Linked DNA regions of Rattus norvegicus. The protein of the gene in region 1 interacts with the protein of each later gene in a pairwise test. Links are inferred from orthologs where the notes say so. Each region holds a gene or a part of one and is shown in the gene's direction. Other genes may lie near its edges.

The links.
Region 2: the proteins of Bhlhe40 (region 1) and Tle5 interact in binary tests that used the Homo sapiens proteins (3 or more experiments, as listed by UniProt). The two-hybrid records come from large-scale screens. The link is inferred for Rattus norvegicus from reciprocal best matches to the Homo sapiens genes BHLHE40 and TLE5.
Region 3: the proteins of Bhlhe40 (region 1) and Maged1 interact in binary tests that used the Homo sapiens proteins (3 or more experiments, as listed by UniProt). The two-hybrid records come from large-scale screens. The link is inferred for Rattus norvegicus from reciprocal best matches to the Homo sapiens genes BHLHE40 and MAGED1.
Region 4: the proteins of Bhlhe40 (region 1) and Stk19 interact in a two-hybrid assay, tested with the Homo sapiens proteins (2 studies listed by BioGRID). The two-hybrid records come from large-scale screens. The link is inferred for Rattus norvegicus from reciprocal best matches to the Homo sapiens genes BHLHE40 and WHR1.
Region 5: the proteins of Bhlhe40 (region 1) and Naa50 interact in binary tests that used the Homo sapiens proteins (3 or more experiments, as listed by UniProt). The two-hybrid records come from large-scale screens. The link is inferred for Rattus norvegicus from reciprocal best matches to the Homo sapiens genes BHLHE40 and NAA50.

Annotation. Positions count from the first base shown.
Region 1 is NC_086022.1:143,172,980-143,177,614, forward strand, and holds the start of Bhlhe40 (class E basic helix-loop-helix protein 40), read left to right. Parts: upstream 1-1,470; 5' UTR 1,471-1,789; coding exon 1,790-1,869; intron 1,870-2,037; coding exon 2,038-2,107; intron 2,108-2,385; coding exon 2,386-2,493; intron 2,494-3,397; coding exon 3,398-3,521; intron 3,522-4,635. UniProt on the Homo sapiens protein: Transcriptional repressor involved in the regulation of the circadian rhythm by negatively regulating the activity of the clock genes and clock-controlled genes.
Region 2 is NC_086025.1:8,797,792-8,802,359, reverse strand, and holds the start of Tle5 (TLE family member 5), read left to right. Parts: upstream 1-1,437; 5' UTR 1,438-1,528; coding exon 1,529-1,555; intron 1,556-2,693; coding exon of another isoform or gene 2,694-2,810; intron 2,811-3,098; coding exon 3,099-3,196; intron 3,197-3,719; coding exon of another isoform or gene 3,720-3,801; exon of another isoform or gene 3,802-4,568. UniProt on the Homo sapiens protein: Transcriptional corepressor. Acts as a dominant repressor towards other family members. Inhibits NF-kappa-B-regulated gene expression. May be required for the initiation and maintenance of the differentiated state.
Region 3 is NC_086039.1:63,419,855-63,424,313, reverse strand, and holds the start of Maged1 (melanoma-associated antigen D1), read left to right. Parts: upstream 1-1,328; 5' UTR 1,329-1,429; intron 1,430-1,984; 5' UTR 1,985-2,013; coding exon 2,014-2,058; intron 2,059-2,755; coding exon 2,756-3,454; intron 3,455-4,005; coding exon 4,006-4,459. UniProt on the Homo sapiens protein: Involved in the apoptotic response after nerve growth factor (NGF) binding in neuronal cells. Inhibits cell cycle progression, and facilitates NGFR-mediated apoptosis. May act as a regulator of the function of DLX family members.
Region 4 is NC_086038.1:3,998,666-4,003,346, forward strand, and holds the start of Stk19 (serine/threonine-protein kinase 19), read left to right. Parts: upstream 1-1,550; 5' UTR 1,551-1,597; coding exon 1,598-1,697; intron 1,698-1,868; coding exon 1,869-2,005; intron 2,006-4,681. Other genes in the region: Dxo (decapping and exoribonuclease protein), read right to left, coding at 18-237, 327-562, 715-1,070. UniProt on the Homo sapiens protein: DNA-binding protein which is required for efficient transcription-coupled nucleotide excision repair (TC-NER). Acts as part of a TC-NER complex which assembles and interacts with RNA polymerase II (RNAPII) when it stalls at DNA lesions.
Region 5 is NC_086029.1:70,063,624-70,067,995, reverse strand, and holds the start of Naa50 (N-alpha-acetyltransferase 50), read left to right. Parts: upstream 1-1,241; 5' UTR 1,242-1,532; coding exon 1,533-1,540; intron 1,541-4,372. UniProt on the Homo sapiens protein: N-alpha-acetyltransferase that acetylates the N-terminus of proteins that retain their initiating methionine. Has a broad substrate specificity: able to acetylate the initiator methionine of most peptides, except for those with a proline in second position.

The DNA of each region.
Region 1 (4,635 bases):
CTGGTTGGCTCCCTCCCAAAGGTCCTTGTAAATTCAAGGTCAAAATCCGTGCTTGTTACCTCCACTGTCTCCAGCCACGAGCTCGACTGGGTAAGGGGCTCAGTGAGTGTGTGCTGCACATATGTGGAGATTTCACTGTGATAAACCAAGAGGATGGGGCGTGGGAGTGGGGGTCCTCCTGTCTCCTCTCTCCTGTCCTGGAATAGACTGCAAACAGCGCCACCCAAGTTCCTGGTTAGCTTCGGGATCCCATGCCGGCTGGCAGCCCGGTGCGCGGGGGTCACGGCTTGGAAGCCGGCGCGGAGAGGCTTGCAGTGAGCCGAGCTCCGGCCCGCGTCTGGGCCACGTGAAGCGTCACGCCCCGCGCTGCTGCAGGGCAGGCGCCGTCGCCGCGGTTGTGTAACTCTGCAGCCGGAGGGGAGGCGACCCGGACGCCTCTGCATCGGAGGGGGCAGAGGAGGGAGGGAACGCCGGGCACCGTGCCCGGTATCTTTCTGTGCTTGACTAGCCAGGGTGGGTGGGGGCAGTGAGGCACCCTGGAAGGCGGGAGGAGATGGGTGCGCGCCAGTCGGGTGCCAGGCCACCCGCAGGCTGCGCCCGGGAGCTGAGCTCCCGGGAGAGTTGGGGGAGGGGAGGGTCCGCACGGCTCACACGGTCCACGGTCAGGTGCGCTCGGCGTGCTCGGCGGCGGCCTCGGCTGCCCTAGCGCCTGGCCACCAGCCCGCTTCCCATGGGGTGACATCCGCCCCGCCCTCGGTCCCTCCCCAAGGCGGGCAATTCCTGGACACTGAGGCTGAGCGTTGGGGGGCTGGGAAGCCAGGACGGAAAGAAACCCCAGCCTCTGGGGAAGGCCAAGGGGGGCCGACAACTCCCTCCGCTGCGCACCGGTTCCTAGGAGCGGGCCAGGCGGGGGAGGAGGAAGAGGGCTGGGCTGGAGCGACCAAGGGGATATTCCTCTCCCGGCTTGAGTCAGACGCGGGCGGAATCCGTCCTCCCCCGTTCCCTCCCAGGAGACGGGAACTTACTTCATTTCCCTGGGGCAGGTTCGCCCACGTTACCAACTCTTCCCCCCGCCCCCCAGCTCCCCAGTTCCTTCCAGCTTCCGTGCCCCCCACCCAGCTGGGCAGGACTCTGGCTGCGCTGCCACCCCCTCTTTCGGGGAAAGGAGGCCGCAGCCGCAGACACCTGGGGCCCGAGGTTTGGGGCGGCGGGGAGGGGGGGCACTTTGCAGCCGCCAGAGCGTTGTCCAACACGTGAGACTCATGTGATGAAGCCGGGGGAGGGCGGGCAGGTCGCTCCTTCCCTCCCCGGCAGCGGCCAGACGTGCTTGGAGTCACAGGGTAGAACACGTAGCTTCTACCCACCCACTCGCTCCCATTTAACCCAGCCCGCAGCCTCTCCTTACTCCTCGGCTCGTCCCCTCCAGCAACCACCGCCCCCCCCCCCGCTCCGCCCTAAGCAACCCCCCCTTTCCCTCCCGCCTCTCCACCCGCCCCACTTCTCATTCACTTGGCTCGCACGGCGCAGACAGCGCAGCGAGCACACACCGCCAGTCTGTGTGCAGAGCGGGAGCCAGAAGCCGTGGGGGACACCCGGTCATGCACGCCCCCAACTGAAGCGACACCTCAAAGCCGCAGCTCCTGGCAGCCCAGCGCATTGCAAGAAGCTCAGGCTAGCTCATAGGAACATACCCCTTGAGACCCTCGGATCCTCCCTTCCAGGGCAGTCCTCTCTCAGACTCTCTGCTAAGTGCAGACAGGAGCGCACAGTGGCCCCTGCTCGCCGCATCATGGAGCGGATCCCCAGCGCGCAACCACCTCCTACCTGCCTGCCCAAAACGCCAGGGCTGGAGCACGGAGACCTGTCAGGGTAAGTGTGCGCTGTGATCCCTTCAAGTCTCCGCTCCTCACCGTGTCTTCCATACCACTCTCAACTTGGGGCATCTCTGGGCATATAGGGGGCTTCTTGCATCTGTAGGACTTCTGCAGCCAGTACGCACTTGGGAGTCACGGCTCTTTCTGGCCTTTCTCCCTGCAGGATGGATTTTGCCCACATGTACCAAGTGTACAAGTCCAGGCGGGGAATAAAACGGAGCGAGGACAGCAAGGTAGGTGCATCCCTGGGGACCCCGTTCCTTAGCCTCTCGCGTGCGCTGAGTTTCCAAGGAAAAGTTTGCTTGTTTGAAGGTTGGCTGGGGGTTTCGGGATGTGATGAGCTTATTGTCACAAGTGAGTGACTTGGGAAAGAAGGGGCAGAGAAGGTGATCCTCGGTGCGTCTCTGCGCCCTCGCAGAATTTTTTTCCCTCTGGTGCTGGGTGGGGAGGAAGGGAGGAAGCTTCGTGTTCCCTTTCTCAGGCACCCACTGCTTCCATTTATTCCTTGCAGGAAACTTACAAATTGCCGCACCGGTTGATTGAGAAAAAGAGACGTGACCGGATTAACGAGTGCATTGCCCAGCTGAAGGATCTCCTACCCGAACATCTCAAACTTACTGTAAGTGAGAACCTGGCTGCGCTCCAACCCAGTTCTTCTGCCCAGAGGGCGGGTGGGGGTCACCCGCCGCCTGCAGGCGTCAACGGGAACTGCAGGCTAGACGGGCGGATCAAAGCTCCTAGTAGTTCTGGTTTGGAGGGAACCCAGACCCAGACCCAGGACTTCCAGGCAGAGGCAGAACCAGAACCATCTGGGGCCTCTTTAAGTTGGCTCCAACACTAGCACAGCTTCCTTTTGGTATTTTTTTTTCTTTCTCACCACCTCGTAGTCTCCCTTAACTTAAAAGGAACAAACCGTGAGATTAAAAAATTATGCCCTTCTCCTTGTCCTCTTACCATCCACGAGAGGACCTACTTTATTTAATGTGTGCCTTTTCTTTTCATCATCATCTTTACTGGTAACCGAAAGCTTTCTGGATTTTCCTTCGGGAAAAGTGTTTGGAAAGGAAGACGAAAAGCCTGCATGACTGGAAGTCCTGAACGGGTGTTTGGGGGGGGGGGGGATGTGTAAAAAAAAAATTCAGCACACTGGGAAAGCCGTTTGGTTGCCAGACACAGTAGACATCCCTCCCTGAGTTGACACCACAGCAGGGAAATGTTATCTCCGGAGTCCCCTGAGTTAAGGTCAGGGCAGCTGCTGGAGAAATATATCTGTCAGCTCACTCCCGAGACTGTAACAGCTACCAAAATGCCTCCAAAGATAGGCAACACATGTTTGACTTTTTTTAAGCCTTTGATCGTTATATGGATATGTTAACACATCTGCAAACTTTAAATTTAGTGGGGCAGGAAAAGCTCTTCCTATCTCGTTGTCTACACCCAATTCTCATAACAAATAGTGTGTGTCAGAAGGGACTTCACTGACCTCACAGGTGACGGAAGCTCCCTTTTTTTTGTTTCCTCAGACTTTGGGTCACTTGGAGAAAGCAGTGGTTCTCGAGCTGACGCTGAAGCACGTGAAAGCATTGACAAACCTAATTGATCAGCAGCAGCAGAAAATCATGGCCCTGCAGAGCGGTTTACAAGCTGGTGAGTGCCTGGCCTGATTAGTGTCTCAGCACAGATCGAGCCCGGAGGGCTGGCTGTGGCTCCTGACTCTGAGCTACCATCTCCTTTGCACATTCACTGGGGGAGATGCTTTTCTGATTCTTTCCTAAAAGGTCATACTTTCCCATACGGAATGCTGCTGTGCACCACCTGGAATGAGTACTTATTAGCCCAGTGATGAAATGTTCCTGTGACATTTTGGCCCGAGAGTGTCTCGGTTCTGGGAGACTTCCCCATCCCCCTTTAAAATGCCAAGGCATCGATAATTTGCATTGTGGGTGTTTTTACAGTTGGTCTGCTGAGCCCTCATTCATGGGTGAGCAGAACACGGGTCTGCCCCTAGTGTTTTCCTGTCCCTTTGCTTCCTTGTCTTTGGATGTGGGATGCAGTCTTGGCAGGATGACAGCAGGCTTTTTTTTTTTTTTTTTTTTTTTTTCTTGCCTGCATTTCATTGTGGTTCCCTGAATAGCCACTAGGTATCTTGGCAAATTGCACAATCCAATGAAACCACTGGTTTCATCATTCATTTATCCTGAGTTTCAGAGAATCAGGGGCACCTTCTAACCTCCCCCTTCTCCCTTCTAGATCATACAGTACAGACCAGGGGGAATCCTAACACCTACCCCTCAGGCATTCTTCTGTTCCGTCCAAGGCTAGTACAAGAATCACAAACAAAAACCAAACCGAGCCAGCATGCCTGCCAGTTTTCCTACTAAAAATAGAAAGTTGATCAGGACTGATCTCTAGGGGAGTCAGAGCTACAGTATATGGGAAAGACTTACAAATAAAGAGCCTAGTTAGAATGCACAGGGGAAATGCACCTATTTGATTAATAGGTTAAGTCTTTGTGTGGTGCCGGAGTTACTGGTTTTAGGTATTGTTTTTTTGTTTTGTTTGTTTTTTTTTTGTTTTTTTGTTTGCTTTTTGGTTGTTGATCTGTTTTTTTGGCTTTCCTAAAGCTCTGAAGTAACCTGCCAGTCTCAGCCTCCCAGGTCGGTGGGATTACAGGTGTGAGCTATGACGACTGTAGGCACGGCGGTGCATGCCTGTAATCCCATACTTGGGAGGCAGACAAAGCCCCTTAAATTTATGGCCA
Region 2 (4,568 bases), on another chromosome or scaffold:
AAACAAGACAATGTCACAGGCCAATCGTGGCACCTTCACCAAAAGCCCTACCAGCCGGGTATGGGTCAGCACCAGGAGCAGCCTCTTGGACTCCTGCCTCCAGGGTACCAAAGTCTGAGTCCGGGTCCTGTCTCTTGAGGCCTGGAGATGGCTTCCTCTTTCCTTCATTGGCCCTCTGTGGCTGGGGGAGGACCCCGACCACCCCACTGGGGCTTGGCATGGCCGTGGCCTAGCCAAGCCTGGCTGGCCACTGTGTCTGGGCCATTTGAGTCTGACACTGTATGGAATTGTGGAGACAGTGTCTCGCTCTGCAGTTTAAGTTGGCCTGAAATATAGGGGTTAATCATATTGGCCCAGGGAACTCTTCTTCTTTCATATATTTTATGTTTTATTTTTTATTATTTTTGAGACAGGGCTCAGCCTTGAACTTACAGAGGTCTGCCTGCCTCTGCCTCCCAAGGGCTGAGATTAAAGGCATGTGCTACCACAGCAGCATATTTATTTATTATATATAATATATGTCATATACATTTACATATACTTATATGTGTATTTAATTTTTTGGACAGGTCTCACTCAGTAAACTGGGCCACAGGTTAATGCTGAAGTCCAACAATCCTCCTGCCTCAGTTTCCCAAGTGCTGGGCAGAAGCTAGGACCTAGGGAACTCTTTATTTATGAGACAGGCTCTCTGTGTAGCCCTGGTTGTCCCAGAACTTTCTATGTAGACCAGGCTGGTCTCAAATCAGAGATTTGCCTGCCTCTGCCTCCAGTGCTGGGATTAAAGGCATGGGCCACCACCACCTGCTGTGCCCCTCTTTAACTTCTTGATGTTTTGAGATAAGGACTCTTGTAGCCCAGGCTGTATTCACTGTGTACATCAGGCTGGCTTCCACCTACCTCAACCTACCCAGTACCGGTAATAACTCTTGTAGCTCAACACAAACCACGTCTTACTTTTTGTTGTTTTGAGACAGGCTCTCTGGTAACACAGGCTGGCCTGGGACTCTTGATCCTCCTGCCTCCGCACCCCAGTCAGTGGGTTACAGACCTGGACCCCCATCCTACCTCTGAGGGACAGGTGTCACTCTGCTACCCAGTGTGCCCCCCAGTCATGCCAACCCTCCGACTCCAAAGAGGATGTAGCACGCTGTAGGCACTCCATAAATCCACCCTGAAGCCTGGGCGCCCAGGCTGTGAGTCCGTGGCCTGGGGGCTGGGGGTTTGGGGGACCATTGAGGCAGGCCTCGGGCCGGGGCTCCGGACCGTGGCGGGGGCGGGGCGCGCGGGGCCAAGGTCACGGGTGGGGCGTCCGGGCCTGCGCAGTGCCGGGCGCGGCAGGTGGAGCGGGAGCCCGGGCGGCACCGCGTCGCCATTACACAATAGCGCGGGCGGCGCGGGCGGGCGGCGGGCGGCGCAGGAGGCGGGACGCGGGGCCCCGGAGCTGTCGATCGGGGACAAAGCGCGGCCGCCCGGCGCCCCCCGAGCCGCCCGAGCCGGGGCGCAGCCCGCGCCCCCCGCGACTGACATGATGTTTCCGCAAAGCCGGCACTCGGTAAGGGGGACCCCGCGCACTGCACCCCAGAGCTCTTCCTGCACCCTCAGCTCAGCTCACTGCACCTCCAGCGCTCACCCTGCACCCCTTCTAGGTCGGATCCCTTCTGTCTCCCCGCCCAGGGCCTGTCCCAGAGGCTCCCTGTGCTCCCCCACCTCCTACAGGCCTGTGCCCCAGCCCTTGCACCCTACAACCCAGGCCCTACGCACCCCACCAGCCCAGCACTGCATCCTTAGCCCGGATCCCTGAACTTTGATCCCTGCCCTGAGTCCCCTCACCGCCTCCCCTCGCCGGCCCCCCCATCCCGACTCCAAGGTCTTCTCCCCACCCCCAACCCCTACTCCCGGGCTCCGGATCAGCCTGTCTTCAATCTTGGGCCCGCACCCCACTACAGCCGCATTCCGCCTGTCTCCCGGCCCTGGGGCTCAGACCCAGAGCTGCAGCACCCTAGGCACAAGTCCTTCATCCCCTTCACCCCAGGCGCGCATGTCCTCCAGCCCAAGACCTTGCATCCCCACCCTGTGCTCTGCACCCCACCAGGCCCAGCTCCTTAAGAGCTCCAGACTGGCCTGACACCAAGTCCAAGGCCCTGCACCCACCACCACCTCGGCCCTGCACTTCCTTCCACCTTAGATCTGCCCTGTCCCCAAGTCTGGTGCCCTCTACCCCCCAATCCAGTCCCCACACCCCCTGTCTCTCCCTCCAGCCCTGTCGGGCCTGGCGTCACCATCCGGGCCCAGCGCCACCTCCAGCCTGGCTCTGCGTCCCTCCTCTAGCTGCAGGCCCCGCACCCCAGCTGCCTTCCTCCTCCAGGCCCCATCCGGCACCCTCAGCACTAGGGTTGGGGGGACCCTGTGCCCGTATAAGGCCCAGTGCTCCCTTGTCCGGAGCCAGATATCCCCCATTCCCCTGCACCTCCTCCCCAGCACTAGGCTCTGTCCCCCTCACATCCATCCAAGCCCGGGCCCATCTGTCGCCTCCCACACCAGATCCCAGTGGCCATGCTCCCCACACCCTACCCCTAGCCTTGCTACCCAGAGAATCTTACAGCCCAACTCCTGACCCAGTGCCCTCAGATGCGGGCCCTGTAAACGCCCCCCCAAGCCCCTCCCCCATCAGCTCTCTCCCTAACTCCCAGGCCATGACTTCCCTGTGGCTTTGGCTGGGACCTGGGAGGAACCCCACAGGGCACTCCTTGTGGCAGGGCAGCTTTTGGGGGGGTCCACCCCTGAAGAGCACACCCCTGAGGAAACAGGTGTGATGGGGTACCCCCAGGAAATATAGGGTGGTAAGCTAGGTGCCTTTTCCATGCTGGCTTTGGAGGGAGGCCTGTTATCACCTTGCTTGACTTAGAGGGGCTTTCTGGGGAGTTCCTCCGGGGGGCAGCCACATGGGTGCTGCCCCTCACAAATGACCAGTGTGTAAAAGCATCACCACTGCCTAGAAGCCTCACAGTCCCTTCCTGGCTGCCAGGGCCTGTAAGCAACCCAGGAAGTGGGGCGTGGGTGGGGCAGGGCGCTGCTCACCCTCCTGCACTCCGCAGGGCTCCTCCCACCTCCCCCAGCAGCTCAAGTTCACCACCTCCGACTCCTGCGACCGCATCAAGGATGAGTTCCAGCTGCTACAAGCGCAGTACCACAGGTGAGCAGGGCCTGGGGACCCCACCTCTGTAGACTTGTCTGTGGCATCAAAGAAGGCGGGGTGGGGGGTGCCTCAGCCATCTCAGGGCCCAGGAGGTGGACCAAGAGTGTCAGCAGTTCAAGGTCATCCTCAACTACTTAGCCAGCCTGGGCTACATGAGACCATGTGTACAAAAACAAAACAAGCAGCCCCTAGTGTGGAGGAGGAAACCGAGGCACACAGCATTCGCGGTTTCAGAGGCCCAGTCCCCATGCATCCCTCTGTTTAGCACAGCCTGGACTGGGTGCCCAGAGAGGGTGAATAGTCCGCCCAGGTTCACACAGCCCCACCTTCTCCTTCTGTCCAGTTTTGGAGTGGGGAAGCTTGCAGGTGTCCCACAGACCCTCCAGCCTGGTCACTCCCACCACAAATACTTTTCTCATTTCTGACGGGTTCCTCATGTGTGAAACTGATCACCCCAAAGCCCAGAGGTGTTAGCAGTTTCCAGGAGTGCACAGCACAGAAGCAAGAAAGCTGCAAGCAGCCTGAAGCTGGGGAGTTGGGGTCCCAGCCACGGGTCTCCGTTTGACCCTAGGCTGGACCTGTTTTATAGGATCCAGTGGTGAGTGGGCATGGGGGTGCAGGCCCAACCTTCCAGCTCTCACACAGTCAGGCGAATGTTGTTCTGGGCTAGCCTGAGGTACAGAACAAACCTCTGTCTCAGAAAATGAACTAATAATAATGATGATAGTAATGATAAAATCTTTAAAAGACCCTTAGATTTCTCCAAGAAAAAGGTAAACCTCAGTGTTTGTGGAGTTTTCTATTTTAAAAAATTATTTTATTTAAGTTTTTGGTATTTATTTTGAGACAGGGTCTTATGTGGCCCAGGCTTTCCCTATATAGCCAAGGATGACCTTGAGCTGCTGACAGGACAGGACAGGCAAGGCCCAGGGGGTGCTAGGCCAGCCATCTACCCGCTGGGCGGCTCCCCCAGCATTTGCCATTTTAAAGAGGAATTTAGGGCACCATTTTGAAGAGGGATTTAGGCACCAGTGCAGGCTATGCCCGCATGGCTCTGGGACCACTCTTAGGGTGACTTCTGCCAGGACCTGCAGGGCAGACAGAGGCTGTGTGTCATCCCATAGGCAGATGCCATCTCTGAGCTGCATTGTGCTGCCCTCTGTGCACTGGGCCTGGGTTCGGGACTGGGGAGCGGACCTCGTGCACTCACGGTCGAGCCGCAATAGCCTTATTTATTGTGTTTGTGTGTGTGTGTGTGTGTGTGTGTGTGTGTGTGTGTGTGTGTGTGCGCGAGAGAGAGAGAGTATGAGAGAGAGAGGGAGGGAGAGGGGCCACAGTGTGACTCAGGGTCCACCACTCAGTCTTGCAT
Region 3 (4,459 bases), on another chromosome or scaffold:
GTCCACTAAAGTGACCATGTCTCAGGGGCTCACACAGCCAGAGACAGATAGGCCAGACACTCATCTTGGAATTCTAAAGCCAAGCCCAGCTTCATTCCGCAAGAACAGGGCAGACACACCTGACTACCCTGGCTGCTCCAGCAGGCACCAAAAAAGCCCGCCGTCTCACTCCTGGAGACTGCCTGCCAAGAGGAGCACAGAGTGAACCTGAAGGGTTCCCACATACACCAGGCCTCCTAGAACACAAGCCTCATTCCCTTGGAACAAATATTGGGGAGAGGAAAGCTTGTTATTCCAATAGAGGATTAAGGAATGCCTCTATTCTCAGAGCAGATTTTCAGTCAGGATCATCCAGGCCCCACATGGATGTTTGTTTGTCTTTTAGATAAAGTCTCAGAGTTGCAAAGCTGGCCTAGAACTCGGTCTCCGGAGTGCTGGGATTACCAGTGTGTTTAAGCAAATATTGTCTTTTCTGTTTGTTACTAGCTCAATGCCCTGGTCCATACAGCGGGTTTACGTTTTAGCTACCTGACGTGTTAAATGAGAATGTTGACCTCCATCCATCTCCTGAGGCTGCCTGTGAGAAAACCAAGCTCCAGGACAGAGCCCACTGCCCTACGCCCTTCCCTCACCTCTCGGACCCACCCCTCACGAAATATTTCTTTGGCAAAAACTGCAAAAAGGGCGAGAGAAACGCTAATTTTCTGAGTCTCGTGAGAGGAAACCTATAGAATCCCCAGGCTGACCCTTGCCCTGGTAGCTCTGTCACGTTTTGTTTTTGTTTTTTTTTTTTTTTTTGCCCCTGCCTTTAAGGTTTCTGCATTGCAAAGTGCGTGAACTCAGCAGAGGCCTAGTTTGTGTCGAAATAAGAGACCCCCCGCAGAGGCCTACCTAAGAGGCTCTAAGCAAGTGGGTGGGAGGTAGTTGCGGACCTGGCTAGAGAGAGTTCGGGAAAAAGGGCGGGACTGAGAAGAGACGCATTGCGGATAAAGGTAGGGGGCTGGTGTGTTGGGCAAGGGGGTGGGACCAAAAGGCGCTGCGCATCTGTTGAAGGAGTGGATGCGTAAGGAGAAGGGGAGGAGGAACCTTTGTACACTGTCAACCTGGTTGGCGGTGGGATAGTGTGCTGGCAAAGAGGCGGGATCTCCTCCAAGTGCACATGCGCGACAAGGTCTCCAGGATGAAGCTTTTGTTGGGAAAGCAAGCGGGACTCTTATTTGGACAGTGATCTGTTGCGCATGCGCGGGGCTTCCTGAGGCGGTGGGTGGTATATTAGGCGAAGAGGCGGGGTCGCCCGAGCTGCCGCGCTGGCATTTTCTCCTGGACAAGGAGAGAGTGCGGGTGCAGAGAGCGGAGCAGAGCAGTCCCGATCCTCTGAGTCGTGAAGAAGGAAGCAACGAAGGGGGTTGGGGTTGGGGCCTGAGGCAAGGTGAGACCCGCCCCCGGACTGGGCATCTGCCCCCCTGGTGTGGCGCCCTTCCCCCATTCTTTTATCCCAATCCCCTTTCCCTGAATTCAGAAACCCCCTCCTCTGCCTTACCCCGGACTTACACCTCGCTCCCGACCCTTTCTAATTCGAACTCCCGTTCATTCCCTGAATCTTTATCCAATTCCTTCACTGAATCCTATTTCCCGACCTTGATCCGTTATACGATTCCTCTAGATTCAAAGCCTTAATTCAACTTTACAGACGCGAACCTCTCCCCGCTAACCGCCCCCCCCCCCGCCCCTGTAAACTACCGCATTCAGAGCGCTTATCTGATTCCAAACCGCGGATTTGAAGCTTTTACCTGTCAGCTTCTGGAAATTTTAGATTGTCTATCGGGACGACCATTTACTTTTCCCGCTTCAGTTAGGCCTGTTTCTCCCCGTACCCAGCACCTCACCCGCCCCCATAATCAAACCACACGCGCACACACAATTCGGTCCTACGTATTTTCCTTCTGTAGTATAATGCCTAGTTCCTCTCCCACACCCCCCTCAGGCTCTGCTCTTGCCAGAGAGACAAGAGCTATGGCTCAGAAACCGGACGGCGGTGCAGGCCTCCGCGGCTTCCAGGTGAGAACCCCGCTCCCAATTCCTCCATTTTCCTTGCTGACAGATTACGCCCACCCCTGGCCCCTCAGGTCGCGCAAATGGCAGGATCTGATTTTGCCCTTCTTCCGGCCTAGACTCCGCGGGCTCTCAAATTTCTAGCGTTTATCGAATAGGGGGGAGGGGCGGCCCTTTTCAGCCATCGGTCCCTGCTTAGAGAAAGGGGAGACCCTGTTAGTCAGGGCATTCTGCCCAGAGAATGCGGGTTGGGTAAGGAACCATTTTTTTTCCATAACCCTGACGCGTGTAGAGCAGTCTGTCGCCCCATCCCCCAACCTCTCGCCTCCACCCTCCCTTTCTCCACGCCGCGAGACTCCCCCTCCACCCTCCTCTGTTTATCCTCCTCAATTCCTCCGTCCTCAGGTCTTGAGCTCCCCACGGCAAGCCTCACGAGTCTGTCTCTAAACCCATTCGGGGTTCAGTGCTTGCACCACATTCCGCACCAGCCCCTGCTGCCTCCGACTGTCCCTCACCTTGCCCTGCCCCCTCTACCTTTAATTAAATTTTGTTCCCGCCCCGCCTCCCTTTGACCCGCCTCTGCCCCCATGTCTGAGTACTGTAACGCCTGTCTACAGTTCCCCTGCTGCGTTGCGCCGTGCCCCTCCTTCAGGTCTGGCTTGTAAGGCCCAGAGATTAAAATTTCCCCCTCCTGTATTTGCAGGCAGAGGCCTCTGTAGAAGACAGCGCCTTGCTTGTGCAGACCTTGATGGAAGCCATCCAGATCTCCGAGGCTCCGCCCACCAGCCAGGCCACAGCAGCTGCCAGTGGGCCGAATGCTAGTCCCCAGAGTTCACAGCCCCCAACTGCCAATGAGAAGGCTGATACTGAGGTTTCAGCAGCTGCTGCCAGGCCTAAGACAGGCTTTAAGGCCCAGAATACCACCACAAAGGGGCCAAATGATTACTCTCAGGCACGTAATGCCAAGGAGATGCCCAAGAATCAGCCTAAGGTGGCCTTTAAGTCACAGAATGCCACCTCTAAAGGTCCACATGCTGCCTCTGATTTTTCCCATGCAGCATCCACAGGCAAATCAGCAGCTAAAAAGTCTGAAATGGCCTTTAAGGGTCAGAATACCACTACTAAGGCTGGCCCCAGTGCCACCTACAATTTCACTCAGTCTCCCAGTGCCAATGAGATGACCAACAACCAGCCTAAGACAGCTAAGGCTTGGAATGACACCACTAAGATCCCTGGAGCTGATGCCCAGACCCAGAATGTAAACCAGGCCAAAATGGCTGACGTAGGGACCAGTGCAGGTATCTCTGAAACTGACGGTGCAGCAGCCCAGACCTCAGCAGATGGCTCCCAGGCTCAGAATGTGGAGTCCCGGACTATAATTCGGGGCAAGAGGACCCGCAAGGTGAGATCCCTGCTGGCTTCCCTTTGCTTTGAGGTCTCTCCTTTCTTTGAATTTCCTTTGCTCCAAACAAAATAAAGGGCACATATATATCTCTATTTTGGCAAAGTTGTAGGGGGAGCTGAAATAAATATTTATTCCTGACCCCCGGTTGTCCACAGATTAATGATGAGTTGATACAAGGACACAGGCAGTATGTGTGCAGACCGTCTTACATTTGACAGTAAACACCATGTCTTAAGCTAGGCAGGCTCACCCAGAATTATCATTAGATTTTGAAGATCCACCTCACAAGCAAGAGAGACCACAGTCAGGGAGAAATGAGTTCAGGGTGAAACCAAGCAGTGCACAGGAAAGGGAGAAACCCCGGGCTCCACTTTGTGTTTTTCTTTCTCTGGTTTGGAGATGAAATGCTTTCCTGAAAGACAGTGAGGAACCAAGTGGCTAATGGCTAGTGAGGTATAGGTGAGGATTCCTAGGGACTTCCTAGGATAGCTACTGGGGGTGCCAGGATTAATAGTGACCCTGAAATTTTCTTCTCTCTAATGATACAGATTAATAACTTGAATGTGGAAGAGAACAGCAATGGGGACCAAAGGCGTGCCTCGCTGGCTTCCGGGAACTGGAGGTCTGCTCCGGTTCCAGTAACCACTCAGAACCCACCTGGCGCACCCCCTAATGTGCTGTGGCAGACACCACTGGCTTGGCAGAACCCATCAGGCTGGCAAAACCAGACAGCCAGGCAGACCCCACCAGCACGTCAGAGTCCCCCAGCTAGGCAGACACCATCAGCTTGGCAGAACCCCGTTGCATGGCAGAATCCAGTGATCTGGCCTAACCCAGTGATCTGGCAGAATCCAGTGATCTGGCCAAACCCCATTGTCTGGCCTGGCCCAATTGTCTGGCCAAACCCAATGGCCTGGCAGAGTACACCTGGATGGCAGAGCCCACCCAGTTGGCAGGCTCCACCTAGTTGGCAGAGCCCTCAAGATTGGCAAGGCCCTCCAG
Region 4 (4,681 bases), on another chromosome or scaffold:
TCCTCCCTGGCCAGAACCTGTAGAAGCTCCTCCACTGGCCAGGGCTGTGCATCTCCTTGGACGTCTTGAGCTCCACGTAGCAGGAGGGAGGCTGGGTGCAAGGGGCCTGGGGGTTTAGGCAGTCTACCTCCCCGGAGAATAGGAGAGGGTGGTTCCCCAGGCGGCTGCGTAGCACAGAGCAGAAGGCCACGTTGGTGTTAACTTCCCCAGAAGGGTCTGGGGAGCCTCCAGGTTTGTCTGCACAAGAAGAGAAGCCAGCAGCAGGGGAAGGGGCTCTCGACCTCTGCGGAAGGGGAGACGGGCCGCACGGCAGCGACAACTCTCACCTGCACACATGTACTGCTCAAACTTGTAGCCCATGTACATGAGCTCCCGGAGGAGGGGGGGCCTTGCAAGCCTCTGGGCCCGAGCAGCCGGGGTCTCCACCTCACTTAGATACAGTGTCCCTTGGAACCGGGAGGCTGCCAGCTGCCAGCCCTCTTGCCTCTCATACGGTGTGGTCAGCAATTTTGTCAGGTGCCCTCGCCATGTCACTGTGGCCCCTGCCAGCCAGCCTGGACCCCTGGGAGGGAAGAATTCGGGGTTTACGGTCGAACTCGAGCTTTAGCTCTGTTGACTCAAAACTCCCCACTAAAGACCCTTTGGCTCTCCCAACTTCAGAAAAGAAAAACGGGTCACCAGGTCAGCTTCTGCGCTGCGCTGCGCTTTGCTCACCCCTCCAGCTGGTTTCGGTGTTCCAGGACCCAGCGCAGCAAATGGTCCAACCTCTCTCGGACCTCCTCATCCCGGGGCTGGTATCGGTCAGGGTATCCATCTCTGAGGTCAAAGTCTGGGCCTGGGCCGTTGATGGGTGGTGGGCTGTAGTAGCGGAGGGCTCGGGCATCTCCGTGGTACTGGCGCTGTGCGTCCAGGGAGAAGCAGCCCAGTTCGGAAGGGCGCCGGTAGAAAGGGAAGGGTCCGGAGTACAGAGAAGGCTGTGTGCGCAGTGAGGGTAGCGACCGCGGTAATTTGTTCCAAGTCTTTGCCACCTCTGTCTTCTCAGCTTTTCTCTTGGTCCCTCTGGGCTCCATGGGGTCCTGAGAGGAAGCGTTTCCGTTTTAGAGCCGACCAGGACCGAGCGAGCTTCCAGGTCCGGGGTGTGAGTGTAGCAACTCCCCCTTCCCAGTCAGGAGCCGGGTGTCTCGTTCCCACCCACAGACACCCAAACGCGGTGAGGTCGAGGAGTTTGGGGTTTGGAGCAAAGACCAGGTTACCTCAAAGCTCCACCTCCCCGAGGCTATAGCATCAGGGCAGCACCTCAGAAGCCGGACAGGGATGCAAACGTAGAGTTGTTGCTCCTGATGACGCAACCATCCGCCCTCAGGGCCGGAGGGGGCGAGGTCGGTCCGCACCTGAGCAGGATCCCAGGCGCCGACTCGCGCCGCCGCGCGCCCCAGAGAGCTCCGGACCGCAGCCAATCAGCAGCGGCCCGGGCGCCGGAAGTGAGGCTGTCTTCGTCATCAAACTCAGACGACCAGCCAGAGGCCCCGTCGTCATCATTCTGCACCGGAAGACGCTATGTTCAGGAGTTCTTTCCCGGAACCCTGAAATTCGGGCTATGAATCGTAAGAGACGTCTCCTGGCGTCTGAGGTTTTTGGAGTGAAGCGACGGCGGGTGCCGGGGCCCGTGAGAGCGGATCCTCTAAGGGCGGAAGCAGGTAACCATGGCAACCCGGGCGTGGCGGGCCATAGGGTACCCACCCTTAGAGGAGGGGGAGGAGGAAAAGGTCCTGGGGTGAGTAACCATGACAACCCAGGCGTGGGGCTCGGGCGTCAGATTCTCTGAGTGCTCTCCACCCGGACCTGACCCCGCGCTCGCTCCCCGACAGGTTCGGCACGCGAGGCCATCGAAGAGCTCGTGCAGCTGTTCCCACGGGGGCTGTTCGAGGACGCGCTGCCGCCCATCGCGCTGAGGACTCAAGTGTACAGTCTGGTGCCGGACAGGACGGTGGCCGACCTGCAGCTGGTGAGGAGCGCCCTGGAGACCTTCGGTGTCTCTTCATCTCCCCAACCCTCAGCCTCAAGGGCACTCGCCAAGTCCCTGTCACTCAGACCCTCAGTGGAGCCGCCAGCCCATCAGCAGGCATTAGACCAAAGCAGATGCAGAGCAAATCCCAGGGCTTTGTTCGGAACTGCAGGCAGATGTCACATCCCACAGGCTTTCGTCTGACATGTTATGGCTGTTAGAGAAGCAAAGGTGTGCGGAAGGTCATCGGTGAAAGAGCTTGAGGGAGAGAGATGAGTCTAGTGTCAACTCCCAGATTTTCCTAACGGTCGGTTAGTGATTAGTGGATTGAATAGAGGAGCAAGGCACCGAGTAACCACTTGCCTGATGCGCACACTGAGTGGCGGGTAATAGACGGACGAGACAGTGGGCTCTGACGCTGCAGATCATTCTAGGCCCTGTGGTACACAAGGGGAAGGCATAAGGGGCTAAATGAGATCCTTGGGGAGACTAGAGGAGTGTTGTAACCTTGTGACCAAGTTTAGAGGGTGATTGAAAGCCAGGGCCGTGGTGTACGTTGTACAGTGTTTAATATCTGTGAAGGAGTGCCTCACAGGATCCTAGGCAATGAGGCCTAAGGATCACATCCACCTTCCAGTCAAATCCACTGGGCAGATTTCAGTCTCTGTTTCACAGGAACTCTCCGACCACTGCCTGAGTGAAAGGTTGTAACACTGTGAATGCCTCTCCCTGCTCCTTTTAACTCTGGCAGTTCCTTCTCAGCGTCCATCTTGCTTATATTGTTATGTTGTTTCTGACCCCAGGGCAAAGACTGCAGACTCAACCCAATTATAATTAAAATGTTTATTGATTACTGAGAGCAGGACAACAGTCTCTGAGCCATACAGAACAGAGTTGGAAGCTGAAGTAGGTATAACCCTGAAGGGGCGTCGTATTGCGTATTTATTTAAGGGATGAAACCGTGAAGAGAGGGGGAGCATCGTGGGCTGTAGCATCGTGTAATCATATTTTGACAGAAGGAATTGAGCAAGGGAATTCTCGTCAGTCAGGATAGGAGTTGGTCCCGGGGCCTGGGAACATGATCTTAGTTTGACCCTGCCAGCAAGATGAAGAAGTTGTCTCTGAGATGTCTGGACTCAGACAGCCGTTTACAACAGAAGCCGGCCAACTATTATGAAATCCCCAACTCTCCTAGGGCCCGGGACCTTGGATTTACTTTATCTCTATGATTAACTGGGGCCTGCAAATGAAGTGGTAGTACTCAGAGTTAAGTTTCTTTGGCACGTTCCCAACAATATATGCGTATTTTCACCAGGAACAGCTTGATTTTATGATTCCTTTTTACCTTGACAGTGAGATCATACTGCTTGCCTTACAGTCTGTCCATGTCCCTATAAGAAAATGCCAGAGGCTGTTTAGTCTACATCAGAAAGAACAGAGTTCATTTCTTTTTTTTTTTTTTTCTTTTTTCTTTTTTGTCGGAGCTGGGGACCGAACCCAGGGCCTTGCGCTTGCTAGACAAGCCCGAGTTCATTTCTTAAAGCTGTAGAAGCTGGGAACCTAAGACCAAAGCCTCAGCTGGCTCAGCATCTGGTGAGGGTTGGCTCTGACTTGTTACTGTGTTCTCAACGGCAGAAGAGACGGAGGACTGGCCATAAGGGCATTGGTCCCATGTGGCTCTCAAGGCACAGTGACCTGCTGCTTTGTGCTGTCACTTTGTAGTCGATGGTGGTGCCGGGCATCGAACCCAGAGCCCTATGCATGTTGGGCAAGCGAGGCTTCCTGCCGTGTCGTGCATCACTTACCTGGTTCCAGCATCCGGAGAACACACTACGACACCATTCGCTTCTTGTTGAGTTAGCTGGGTGTTTGAAAGATCATTCCAAGTTGTCTGTAACAATAGTTACCCATTTCTCTAGGTTCCTATGTTAGGAGCCTGTTCCAATTTACTCATCCCTGTGAGACAAACGTATTTTTGATGGCTTATGAATTCACCTTAGCTTCCTAATTGCATTTTCATCAGTGGTCAGTTAGAAGCGCCCTCACACCTCCTCTGTGCTCCTTGGGTGGGGGTTGGTAAGAACTGTGGATCACACTTCCCAGTCTCCTGTCACTGAGCTCTGACTGAATTTCCAGCTCACATGACACGGTGGCCAGAGAATACACAAGATGACCCCACACATTTGAAATCGATAAAAGGCTTGTTTTGCATTATGTGGCCTATTTTGCTAAACGTTATATACGTGTACGTGAAAATACGTTATTTCCTTACTGATCTCTCTGTAGCCGAGGCTGTAATTGAATCAATCAATCTCTCTCTTTCTCTCTCTCTCTCTCCCTCTCTCTCTCTGCTGATTATTTAGTCCCTTGTTCTGTGAATTTATGAGAATTGGATTTATATACTCCTGAGGTGGGGGTATTTTATTTATTTATTTTGTTTGTTGTTTCCTGAAACTCACTCCATAGACCAGGCTGGCCTCGAACTCACAGAGATCCACCCGAGTCCACCTCCCAAGTGCTGAGATGAAAGGCATGCGCCATCGCTTTCAGCTCACTTTTTGGATTTTTATTGGCTATTCGTGTGTGTGTGTGTGTGTGTGTGTGTGTGTGTGTGTGTGTGTGTGTGTGTGTGTAAGTGTGTAAGAAGACTGCTAGAGGGAGGAGGGAGTCTGTTCT
Region 5 (4,372 bases), on another chromosome or scaffold:
TGCCTACAGGGGTTTTCCTCCATTCTGATCAACCAGGCCAAGGCCTTTGCCAAGGAAGGAGCTTTGGGGAATGGGACCCGTCGTTTGCTGCAGACCCCCAAGAAATGGCTAAAACAATTCTACCACCTGAATCAGCCCCAAATGCTCTAAAGAAGGAACCATAATGGCCGCACTCGCTCTCAACACAGGGAAAGGTGGGCATCATAATCCCTCGTCGTGGACTAAGGTGAAGGGTCAGGGGTCCAGCAGATCTAGAAAAATGAGCTCCTCGCTCATGCAGGAGGACAACGCGAAAGGAGCCCCAAGCACCGCACGCCGCGGTTCACACATCCCAGTGTCTATATACTCTCACCCCACCCCGTCAATCGTTCCCACCAGCCACCAGTTACCTGTCGCACCTCACCTGCCCGGGCTCGCAATGCAGAATCTGTACCTAGACCGGACCCAGAGGCTCTGTCACTGAGAGAGGGGAAGTCTTCAGCTGCAGGAGGCGGGTCAGCCCTAGCTAGTCATGTGACCTCAAGCCCCACCCCGCTTCCCCTCCCCAGGCACGCTGCGTCTCGCAGGCTTGAACCTTTGCGGATTGCTTGGATGTGAATGGTTCCGCGATTTAGGAAAAGCGTTATTTTCTTTTTCACAATGACTGGGTTATATAAACTACAGTACAGAAAACGAGGATGGCAAGGGTTAAAGTGCATTGCTAAGGAAGTGACGCTGAGTCACGCTCTAGGGACCGGAAATGGCGATGAGTCCCGCCTCTAAAGGCCCCAGTAAAATCCTGGCTGGAAGGCATAAGCCTATCACGTGATTTCAAAAAAAAAAAAAACCTGTGAGGTTTGCCTGCTGGAGGATGGCCAAATTATCCAGACCCATCGTTACCTTTTGAATTTAAAACACATTTACTGCAAGCCTCCACAGGCTTTCTTACATTGAGAAGAATCCATTTTGTAAAACCCTATTAGGGGACAAGAGGATTTGAAGGTCACTGGAGGTCTAGAAAGTGGGTGGGGGCGGGACAGGCTGATCTTGTTGGTTTGAAAGAGAGGGAAGGGTGGAAAAATCCGGATTTTACCGCCGGAGCCTACCAAGCAAGCTCCACTGGAGTGTCGCAAAGGGTGGGTGGAGCTAGCCGACCGTAGGCCCAGCCCTGGAGAAAGAGGAGGGGGTGGAGTCCTGGCGGCGCCGAGCACTGCGGTTGCGCGCGACGCGGCGGACGCGCCGGCGCGCTGAGGGGGCGGGGTGAAAGGTCACAGCGCGGCGGCGGGTCTGGCTGGCGGCAGCTGCGGGCGGGAGCTGAGTGTCCGGAGTGCACGTGTGGAGAAGCGACGGCGGCAGCAGCGCGGCGGCGGCAGATCTCCCCGCGTCTTCTAGAGCTTCAGGGCCTGGCTTGGCTTTCGAGGCCTCGTCGTCCCCTCAGCCAAGAGGCCGGCGTGTGAGGTTGAGTGGCCTGAGCTTAGGGCGCGGAGAGCTCGGGGCGACGAGGACGACGGCGTTGGTGGCGGCTGTAACGACGGCCTCAGCAGACGGAGAAGATGAAAGGGTGAGGAAGGGCAGCGGGCGAGGGTCCGGCGGGCACCGGAGAGGGGCGTGGGTCGGTGGACTTGGGGAGCGCTGCGGGGAAGAGACTCGCGCGAAGACCTGGCGGAGGGACATTGCGAGGCTTCCCCGGTCCCTTGGCTCCCGGAGGGGGGCGGAGGCTAGGCCGGCTGTTGGCGGGCTGAAGGGCCGGCGGAGGCAAGGGCGCGAGGCCACGATTTCAACCCGGAGAACGAGTGTGCACCGAATGAGACCCCGGGGAGAAGGTGTTAGGACGCGCCCGGGGCCTCTTCCCGGGAGCGCACGACTGAGCCGCCTCAGGTGCTCATCCAAATCCGGGATCCATGCTGTGGCCGCGGGCTTTGACACGTTGCGGTTTTCTTCATACTTGTGGGCCGTGCAGAACCTTCTGGAGGGAAAAGGAATTGGAATAAAGAGCACGGAGGATGAGTGCTAGGAGCTAGTGACTCAACGGACTTGGGTTGGGTCAGAGCGAGTGGAGGAGGGAGGGAGGGGGAATGAACTCCAGCGGTGTAGACTTTGGGGTGCCAAAATGTTTAAGGAAGTATCATGGATCAGTAGGTGGAGCTATTGCTTCAGTGGTGTGTGTTGCCCCCCAGTGCAAGGAGGAGCTGCTTTTTTACTCTTCGTTAGCAAAGTTGAGGTTTAATCTTTCAAATCTTCGGTAACGCTAGAAGTTATTTTGGCTTAACTGTTCCCGTTTGGTTGAAAGTATTTCCTTTCCACTGATTTATATTACTGTTCAGTATTTAGCACCGCCAGTTTTGGAGGTTGCCTTTACAATCTTTAGAGGAAAAAGAAAGCTTAAACTTTTTGAGATAGCGTAAGGGTTTTTCTAAGTCAGCTGAAAATTATTACTAATATTTTCAGTTAAATTGTTCAGCATCGTTTTTTGGAGAGCGAAATAAATCGTCTCATTCTCTGTAAAATGAGGGACCTCATATCTGAAATGATTCTGAGAAAGTTTTGACTTTAAGTCTGCATGTAAGACATTTTTTCTAAACTCTGGTTTGCTTTAAGTTATTAATTTCAGTGGTTTTTTTGTTTTTTTGTTTTTTGTTTTTTGGGTGGTGGTGGGGGAATGTTTGCTCCATCTGAGCCACTATTCGGGATGCTTTTAGAAATTTTTAGAAATATGACTCAGTTATCTTTCGGAATTTTATTTTACTAGTAGAGTACCACTTTGATACTCTTATTTTTTTTCTACTCATTGCTACACATTTAGAACATACTTGACATGTTCCGTTATAGTAAAAACAATGAAGATAACAAGACTAAGAAATTATGCTGGAAGTTTAGGTTAAAAAATCTTGGGTCTAGTTCAGTTTCGTTAGGTATAGGATACTTGACAATAGAAATGATGCCACACAGTGGTGGTGTTGGCTGTTTATTTGAACTTTTATTTAGGGTACTATTGAAGCAGTTCTACCTTATTAACTAACTGGAGTTCTTGGAATTAAAGGAAAGTACTCAGTGCTCTGCAAGTACCCTGCCACTGAGCTATATCCTCAGCACTTTATTTTGAGGTAGAGTCTCACTAAGTTACTCAGGCTGACACTGAGCTTGGCAACAATCTTCTTGCCTCCCTTAACCTTTTGAGTTGCTGGTATTATGAGCTTGAACCACCTTTACCAGCTGGTTCTTTTTATTTGAGTAGATATTTAAGTATATATAACATAATGGAGGCCTAGAAATGCATTAGTGGGCAGATTTGGAGAAAACTCGGAATTGTTGAATCCATATTTTAGACCAATAATTAGGCTCAAAATTAAGACTCCTTAAGTCAGTTTTTTTTATTTCCCAGGATTGAGGGCTTAGAATTGGGTTCTGGACTAAACATTTCAAGATGATTTTACAGGTATAGATTTTTTATTTTTATTTTTTCCTAACTCCCAATAAGCATGGGACTATTAATTTTTCTTCCTTTTAAGAAATGAAATCGGGGTATAGGGCAGTATTGGTTTTGTTTGTTTGTTTGTTTTTTAAGATGTTGATGTCCTTGAGATACAGAACCTGTATAACTGAATACTATGTGTTCAGTCTGCTGACTTTATTGGAAAGGCTCTATTCCATGGATTTTGTTTGAAATTTTATTTGCTAAATTTCTATTGTATATTGAGCTTACCAAACAGTTTTATAGAGGACTCTGAAGTTTTGAAAATTGAACACACCCCCACCACCAATACACACTGATTTAATCTATGATTTAAATTTTGAGCATTGAAACTTTTTAAGCTTACTTTTAAAAATACTTTACTTCGTATTTCTTACTTTAGTATTCTTATTAGTAACAGCAGTAGGTTATCATGTTGTAAATCATCCTTATCTCCATAATAGATAAATTTGCAATTAATAATTACTATATATTTTTATATACATATGGAGAAAAATGAGAAGTAGTACATTATTAGACTATTTGCTCTTTCAAATGAGGCTTCTTGTTTTTATGAACCAAGGACATCATGGCTTGAATTTGTGGTTGAGAAGATGATATTCAGTATGCCATAGACACAATGACTGGCAGTGTAATTAGTTGTCAAGGGTTATAGAAAATAAAATTAAATCCACTTACCTTTCAACTATTAATAAAGAGGTGTAAATTAGTTCTAATAAAAATGCCTTTAAATAAGATATGAATGCTAAGTGGACCAAAGTAAAGCTAAAAAGGTAGGTAGGAATAATATAAACACTGAGCAAAATGGTTACCTATTGAAACTTGGCCAAATGTGGAACATAAGATTCTATAGTTATAAGTGAAGCTTTGTCGACAAATACAAAATAGTGGTTATACCATTATTATATATGTTGGGGTCAG